2 linked regions of the Tribolium castaneum genome follow. The protein of the gene in region 2 interacts with the protein of the main gene of each other region in a pairwise test. Links are inferred from orthologs where the notes say so. Each region holds a gene or a part of one and is shown on either strand. Other genes may lie near its edges. The genes, in order: CtBP and exd.

What was found.
Region 1: the proteins of exd (region 2) and CtBP interact in a two-hybrid assay, tested with the Drosophila melanogaster proteins (2 studies listed by BioGRID, with this or other methods). The link is inferred for Tribolium castaneum from reciprocal best matches to the Drosophila melanogaster genes exd and CtBP.

Annotation. Positions count from the first base shown.
Region 1 is NC_087395.1:17,862,534-17,866,360, reverse strand, and holds part of CtBP (C-terminal-binding protein), read right to left. Parts: intron 2,837-3,827; 5' UTR 2,623-2,836; coding exon 1,948-2,622; intron 1,899-1,947; coding exon 1,472-1,898; intron 1-1,471. UniProt on the Drosophila melanogaster protein: Corepressor targeting diverse transcription regulators. Hairy-interacting protein required for embryonic segmentation and hairy-mediated transcriptional repression.
Region 2 is NC_087400.1:5,271,061-5,274,571, forward strand, and holds exd (extradenticle), read right to left. Parts: upstream 2,051-3,511; 5' UTR 2,047-2,050; coding exon 961-2,046; 3' UTR 643-960; downstream 1-642. Other genes in the region: pre-mRNA-processing factor 17, read right to left, coding at 3,182-3,359, 3,411-3,511. UniProt on the Drosophila melanogaster protein: Transcription factor which acts with the selector homeodomain proteins altering the regulation of downstream target genes such as wingless (wg), teashirt (tsh) and decapentaplegic (dpp), thus affecting segmental identity.

The sequences.
Region 1 (3,827 bases), on a different chromosome or scaffold from region 2:
GGGCGGATTATATGCACAACAAAGAAGAAAAAATGTGTAGTAAAATATCCATAAATGTCCAAAATAACTAAATTAAAATCAAACTTTTTTATATTATCTAAATCATGAAACGGCGCATTTGAGTCCTTGTGATAGACAAGTAATATTTCGGCAAACTTTCTTCTTAAGGTCCCACACTACTGTTGGTTTACACACACATAAATGAATTTTTAATTCAGTGCCTGACAGCAACAACAGCCTAAGTCCCTTTTTTCCAAAAAATAAATAATATAATTAAAAGTGAACATTGAACACACTTTCTATTTGAAACAAAGCATAAAATCGTGCAAACGGCACTACTTACAAAAGTTACAGGATATTGGAATTTTATTTTTAAAGTCCAAATTATTTATAAAACAACCATACACCATTGAAAAATAATTTTAATTTTTTCACCTGTATACCTGTAACGATTGGGTTAATTTTACTGGATCTACTTCCAACAAAAAAACCACTCATAAATGTTAGGTAAAATTGTGCCAATGGTTATTAAATATTAATTTTTGTTTTAAACTAGTCCTGAATATTTAGCACTTTCGACTTTTTCACTGTCAGGTACCGATTATATTGTAGCATGACAAAAGAGAGAAGCACATCCCCACAGGCAGACCAGTGATTTGGTCCATAATACAGAAAAATCGTTTAATTTTAAGCCTGACTGAAGATTAATTTTTGTGTTGCTTTTATCATGTAAGCTGCAACTTTCCGTCAATTCCAGCAAAACTTTTCTTGAACACAGGTAATAAATGTTAAATTAGTTATATTAACAATAATATTAACATATTAACAATAATGTACAACTTGACCACATTTTAATTTACAATTAAATAAATAGAATTGTTCCCTGACAGTTTTTATAGCAGGAATATACATAATTTTTTGTAAGTTATCAGTTATATTATGTTTCCAGCATTTTTTTATATCAAATGAGCCAACTTTAATAGTGGAAAATTAAAGAAACAAATGCGTTAGTATTTAGTTAGTACGTAGTAAGTCTTTATTATTTTCTGAGATTTTAGCCACAATTCAGCCTTTTAATCAAAGAAATGGTGGAAAAGAATATGTACTTGAAACTACCCGAAATTTCCGAAACAGGTCAATAGAAACAGTTGCAAAAAAACTACCTCCCGCTGAGAATTGTCGGTACAAATGTGTGTTTTTAAACTTTCCCCAAAAAGCAAAATAAACAATTTCTGCTAAAAAGGTGGGGTAAATACTAGTCAAATGTAAAACATGCAATTACAAATTAGAAGTGTAAAAAATATTCATATGGCATATAATCCGCCCTTTAGTTAATACGCTTACCGAACTGATCAAATTATGGCACTTTTTTAAAAGAAAATGAAACATTAATCGACAGTAAATTAACCTAGGAGTCAGACACAACGGGATCACGTCAAATCATTCATCACATTAGTAGTAACAATATTACCTGTACCTTCGGGATATGAGCCCGGGCTCATGAAATATTCCTTATTGACGCAATTTCTTAAACACTCCGGGATCCTGCCCATGATGGCGCGCCTTATTTCCGACGCTGCCATTTCCCTAAGTTCTGTTGCTGAAGCGTCACTATAAAAGGCTGCATGTGGAGTACACAACAGATTCGGGGCGTCTTTCAATGGTCCCGAGAACACATTGTACGGTTCGTTTTCGTGGACGTCCAACGCCGCAGCTCGAATGCGACCCTGTTTTAAGGCTTGAGCTAAGGCATCGTCGTCGACGAGACCACCGCGCGCCGTATTCACCAAAAAGGCCCCCGGTCGCATCTGCTTGATGGTAAACTCGTTGATTAGATGATGGTTGTGTTCGTTTAGGGTGCAGTGCAGGGACACGCAATCCGATTGAAACAAAAGGTCCTGAAAATGAGCCAATGAAATACCGCTGATTTCGATGGTGGGTGCGTACCTGGAGCGTGTAGACCCGCGTCAGTCCTAGACTCTTCTCGATGCCGTCGGGGAGATAGGGATCGTAGAAGATGACGTTGAAGCCGAAGGCTTTGGCGCGAAGTGCCACCGCCGAGCCGATCCTGCCGAGCCCGACGATTCCGAGAGTATCCCCACGTATCCTGGCGCATCCTTGGGCCGCCTCCCGCACTTGTTCTGGACCGGTGAACTTCTTACCCTCCCTCACCATGTTCGCCAACCAATAGGTCCGTCGGTACAAATTCAAAATGAGACACAACGTCGTATCGGCGACTTCCTCGACGCCGTAGCCGGGGACGTTACAGACGGCGATGCCGAGCTCCCCTGCCGCTTTAACGTCGATGTTATCGACGCCACTGCCTATGCGCACGATGATACGCAACGTTTTGAACTTTTCGAGATCTTCCTTAGTTAAAACGATGGTGTGCCACATTAGGGCTCCGACCGCCTCGTTCAACACTTTCTCGTGGATCTCACTGGTGCTCTGCGCGTCACAGAACGCCACCGTGGCCACGTCCTTCAATATCGGCATTTCGATGGAACAGTCTCTTCCGTCCAATAACGCCACTAATGGTCGGGTCTGCATCGGCCCGTTCGAAATTGGACCGCGCAAATTTTCAACTCTAGGCCTTTTTGCCATCATTTTTCGTTTGTCCATTTGACACACAACACTAACCGCGACACCAGAGCCGCATTCACGGCACGACACTGATCACAACACGACGACGACGACGACAGTTCACCCCCTTCACACTGGTGATGATGATGCAGCCGTCCACCGTCTTACTCGCAAAACGCCGGACCGCGACACCAACCTCTTAGGTTATGCTTCGCGACTGAATATGTGATCCATTGCGATGCATGAAGACCACCTAAAAACAAATTCCATTTATAGCGGGCGATCTTGACACTTGCAGATAAATTTAAAAAGTGGAGGGTAAAATATGCGAAATCAACTGAACTTATTACCTTACCCGAATGTTTATAGTTTCTAAGGCCCTTCGTATCCCAGGAACTATAAATACATGTGAATAAGGCAACTAGTCCCCTAGCACTACCTCTTCAAATTTTGGGACAACTATTAAAATCACACTGTAAAATGATGTAAACAGAGACAGTCGAAACGAGGACAGTAAACATGGCAATTGTCCGTCGTATAGAGAGGGTTAGTTTCTCTCGGACAACTATTACTACAGTTAAAACTAATTCCAACTCTCGACTACGAAACTGGCAAAGTTAGTCCTCAACTATTATTGCACGATGTTTGGTTTCGGGAAAGTTTGGGAAATGTGTTTCGGAATATGGTGTGGCGGTGGAACGCCAACGGCCAACTTTAGATATTTTAATAAATTATCATCGCCGCCGCCGCCGTCGTTGCTTCTCCTTCGCACGAAGCCGCGCTATTGCCGCCACCAACCGCTGGACATCTCCCTCCTCGTCCAACTTCCGCTGTTAATCACCGAGAGAAACCTCGCTCCGCCTCGGTACAACCCACCCCTCCACGACGTCGAATTCCGCCACCACCCCCGCTTTTAATCGATGAACTTTGCATGGGACCACTTGTCCTCGCCAAAAAATCGCATTGTAATTGTACAAAGTTCCCCGTCTCATTTATCACCGATCGGTTAAAAAGTCGACGAAAAGTTTGGCCCGCACACACAAGAATCATCTCAATCGACTCGACAAAAGTCCCGTAAAAGTTGCTAAAATCGATCGTCGACGGCAGTTCCCCTGAACTAACTTTTGCTATAAAGTATATAAACTTACACTTTTGTAACAACTTTAGTTCTCGGGCAAACTTTGGCCCGTGTCGGAGCGACTAGTTAAAAAGTTTGCCGAGTTTTCCTTGTCTGACTGCCGGCG
Region 2 (3,511 bases):
GCGAATTTCCACAATGATTGTTTCGCTAAACACGCAAAGTGGTTATCAAAGCAAAAATAATAAAATTTAAGCCAAAATAAGCGTATATCGACGGGCCCAACTCGGTGTAGTGTTGGTATAACTGGAAGTGTCACAGCGGCAAATTTAATTGTGGGGTCTGAGCAGAAAAATTTAAAGCCCACACAGATAAAAATACCCATATACCAAAAAGAAAAAAGCTCACGATAAGTTGTGATTTATGTAATAAGTGGGTATTACGTTCCCCCTCTGGTCTCTATACAGGGTGTCCCAACTGAAATTGCACCCCTAGAATCTCGGTTTACAGAGGAACTAAATTTTATCCTAGAAAGTTATTTCTGCATACCTCTTAAATCACCAATCACATTTCTTTAATTTGGTCACGTGTCCAGTTAATCACGCATTTAATTGCGAATTAAATTAACGACGCTTCGTCTAAAAAATCTAAAACTTTTATTGACATCTGAGTAATTATTTTATAAATCTATCCACAATGACAGTGATTGTTTTTTTTTAGTGAGTTAATTTTTATGGGGCTTTTATTCACGTGAGTCTCTCTACGCCCTTTATTTCCATGTAGGATTTTCTGTGATTATTTCATGTATGTTGAAAAAATGATCCACGTGTTACTACAGTTATTTATTTAAATAGTAAGCACTGTAATTTCATTTTCGATGGAAAAACCTCGGCGTTAAAGCAAAGTTCTCTCACCCAGCTGCTCCTTATCGATAAAAATAAGTAAATATACAAAAAATACTGAAGAAAAACTCGCCTTAACTCCTAAAACAATCAACCTAAAAATATATTGCAAGTACGTCCTATACTATCAGAAAAGTAAAACTTGAAGCAATTGAACCCAGAAACACACTGTACACGATACAAAATTCGGTATACATGGGTTAGTATACAACTGTATTTCCTTAAAATTAAGCTAGGGTTTGATTAGGGCGACAGTTCCTGTGCGTGCATTGGGTCGTAACCACAGCTACTGGCGTCATAGGCTGAGCTCTGGTCGTAGGCCGACCCCATGGAGTAGCCCATGGAGTCCTGCGGGGGCGCTGGGGACATCATGGGGGTCGGGGTGCCGCTGTAGGGCGACGCCCCTGCCGCCTTCTTCGCCGCGTACAAATTGGCCTCTTCCTGCGCCTTCCCGATGTTCTTCTTGTACCTGATTCGTTTGTTCCCGAACCAGTTCGACACCTGGCTCACTGTGATCCCGCATTTCCTAGCCAACTCTTCCTTCGCCTCCTCACTGGGGTAGGGATTAGACAAATGCGAGTAAAAATACTCGTTTAGAATTTCCGACGCCTGCTTGCTGAAATTCCGGCGTTTCCTTCTGGCGTCCAAAAACCGCGATCTGAGGATCATAACAGCCTCGCAAGTCGACTGTTTCAGCTGCATCTGAATCGAGGAGAATTTCTTGTGTATGATTTGCACCATCCGCTCGATTTCCTTCGGGGTGATTGGGCGAGTCCGGGACTGCTCCCGCAGCAAGTTCATAACGTGTGTGGTGAACTCATTGCACGCCTGTTCGTACTTTTCCAGTTCTTGGTGGTAGATTTGGCGGATTTGGGCGAGTTTGGCCCTGTAGTCGCTGTGCTCGATGGCGTTGTCGGGCTGGCCGGCCTGGGCGGCGGCGGAGCCCGAGGCGGCGGCCCCCGCGCCGCCGCCCTTCTCGGGGCCCGCCACCCCCTCGGCGATCAGCATGTTGTCGAGCCGCATCAGCTGGGGGTCGGGGGGCTCCTCCTCCTGCGTGTTCCGCAGGCTGAGCACCGTCTTCTCCTTGATTTCGCACAGCACGGAGAACAGGGCCGGCTTCATGCGGTGGCAGTTGAGGGTGTGTTTGCGCGCTTGGGCCTCGTCGAGGCTCTGGTCGGTGATGTTCATGATCTGCTGGAGGATCTCACCGATGTCCTGCTTGCGGGGCTCGTTCTCGCCGCCCGCGGGCGCGTCCTGGGCGTTCATGTACGGCTGAGGGGGCATCAGGCCGCCGCCGGTGTGGCCCATCATTCTGCCGGGGTCGTCCATGGGGGCACGCAAACGGCACTAGGAAATGGACGCGCTTGACAGCATACGTAAACAAAGCGGGAGGATGTTTGCGGGATGGGTAGTAGGGGCGCATGCGCGAAAGCAGGAATTTTATGGATTTTGAGGGGCGGGTGGGGGAGATTTATGGCCTTTGGATGATATTCAAATTTTGGCACGGATTGGAAAAAGTGGTTTACTAAAGCGAGAGTTGTTTATACTTGGATTCATTCACAAACTAGGGAGGACCAGAGAACTAATGATAGAAAAAATCGTTGATTCTCTTGAAATCAGCATCTAACAGTCATTCAACAGCAAAAAATCTGAAGTAAATGACCAAAAGTTGTGTCAATTTTGAGAAAAATATAGAAAATAGAAACGTATGCTGTAAAATCATACTCTAATTACGTTATTTCACAATCTACGTTGTCTTTTAGTCATTACCAAAAAACTATGCCACTCCACCATAAAACAAATTTGCAAAATACCAGCAAAGTCCGGACCTGTGTAACTCAAAACTCGTCTAACGGACTTAATTAGTTATAATACTGAACACCCCGTTTCATCATTTTAAATATATATTTAAAAATTAAAGTCCCATTAAAGTATTTAATTCTCCATTTAAATTATCTAGAAAATTTAGAAATCAACATAGGAACGAACGAAAGTAGCAACTTATTGTCTTTTGAAAGTGAATTTAATGTGTGATTGTTGCAAAGACGAAAAAATACAGTTTGAGAAAAAATTAATTAATTAAAAAAATTAATAATTAAAAGGACGATTTAGAGAACAAAGATTTTTTGAAAAAAAAGCAAATGCTGATGTTAGAAAATTTAATTACTATTAAATAAAATACTAATAATCATTCTTTATTTTTTTCCAATTGCAAAAACATCATTTTTTATCTAATTTTTTTCTAATCTTTTAAATGCTTTAACGGCGGAATTAAAATCTCGCTGTCAAAATTAGACGTAGGCATTTAAAAACGCAAAATGAGTGACGTTTCACCGTAGACATAAGTCAGGTGACCGAAATCGCTTACGTTGATTGGTTATAACGATCACGTGACCATAGCGAAAGGACGTATCTTCTAATTAAAATATTTTATTTCGCTTAAAATTTACACCTTCTTGGAAACTTAATCCCAGTATTTGATAAGTCCATCCCAGCCTGCTGTCACTAACTTGCTCGGCTCGTGCGGATGCCACAGCACACTGATACAGACATTATCGTGCGCTTTCCACTTCTTATACAACTTTGTAGTTTTCCAATCCCAGATGTAGCACTTACCATCGGCGTCACCCGACACTAAATAACTACAAAAAAAATTGTTAAAACCTACAACTGTTAAAAAAATAATAACAAACCTCAAATCTGGTGAAAAATCAAGTGTGCAGGCATACCCAGCCACCATATGTCCCGTAAACGTCTTTTTTCGATTTATTTTGAAGCGATTTAATGCCGAGAA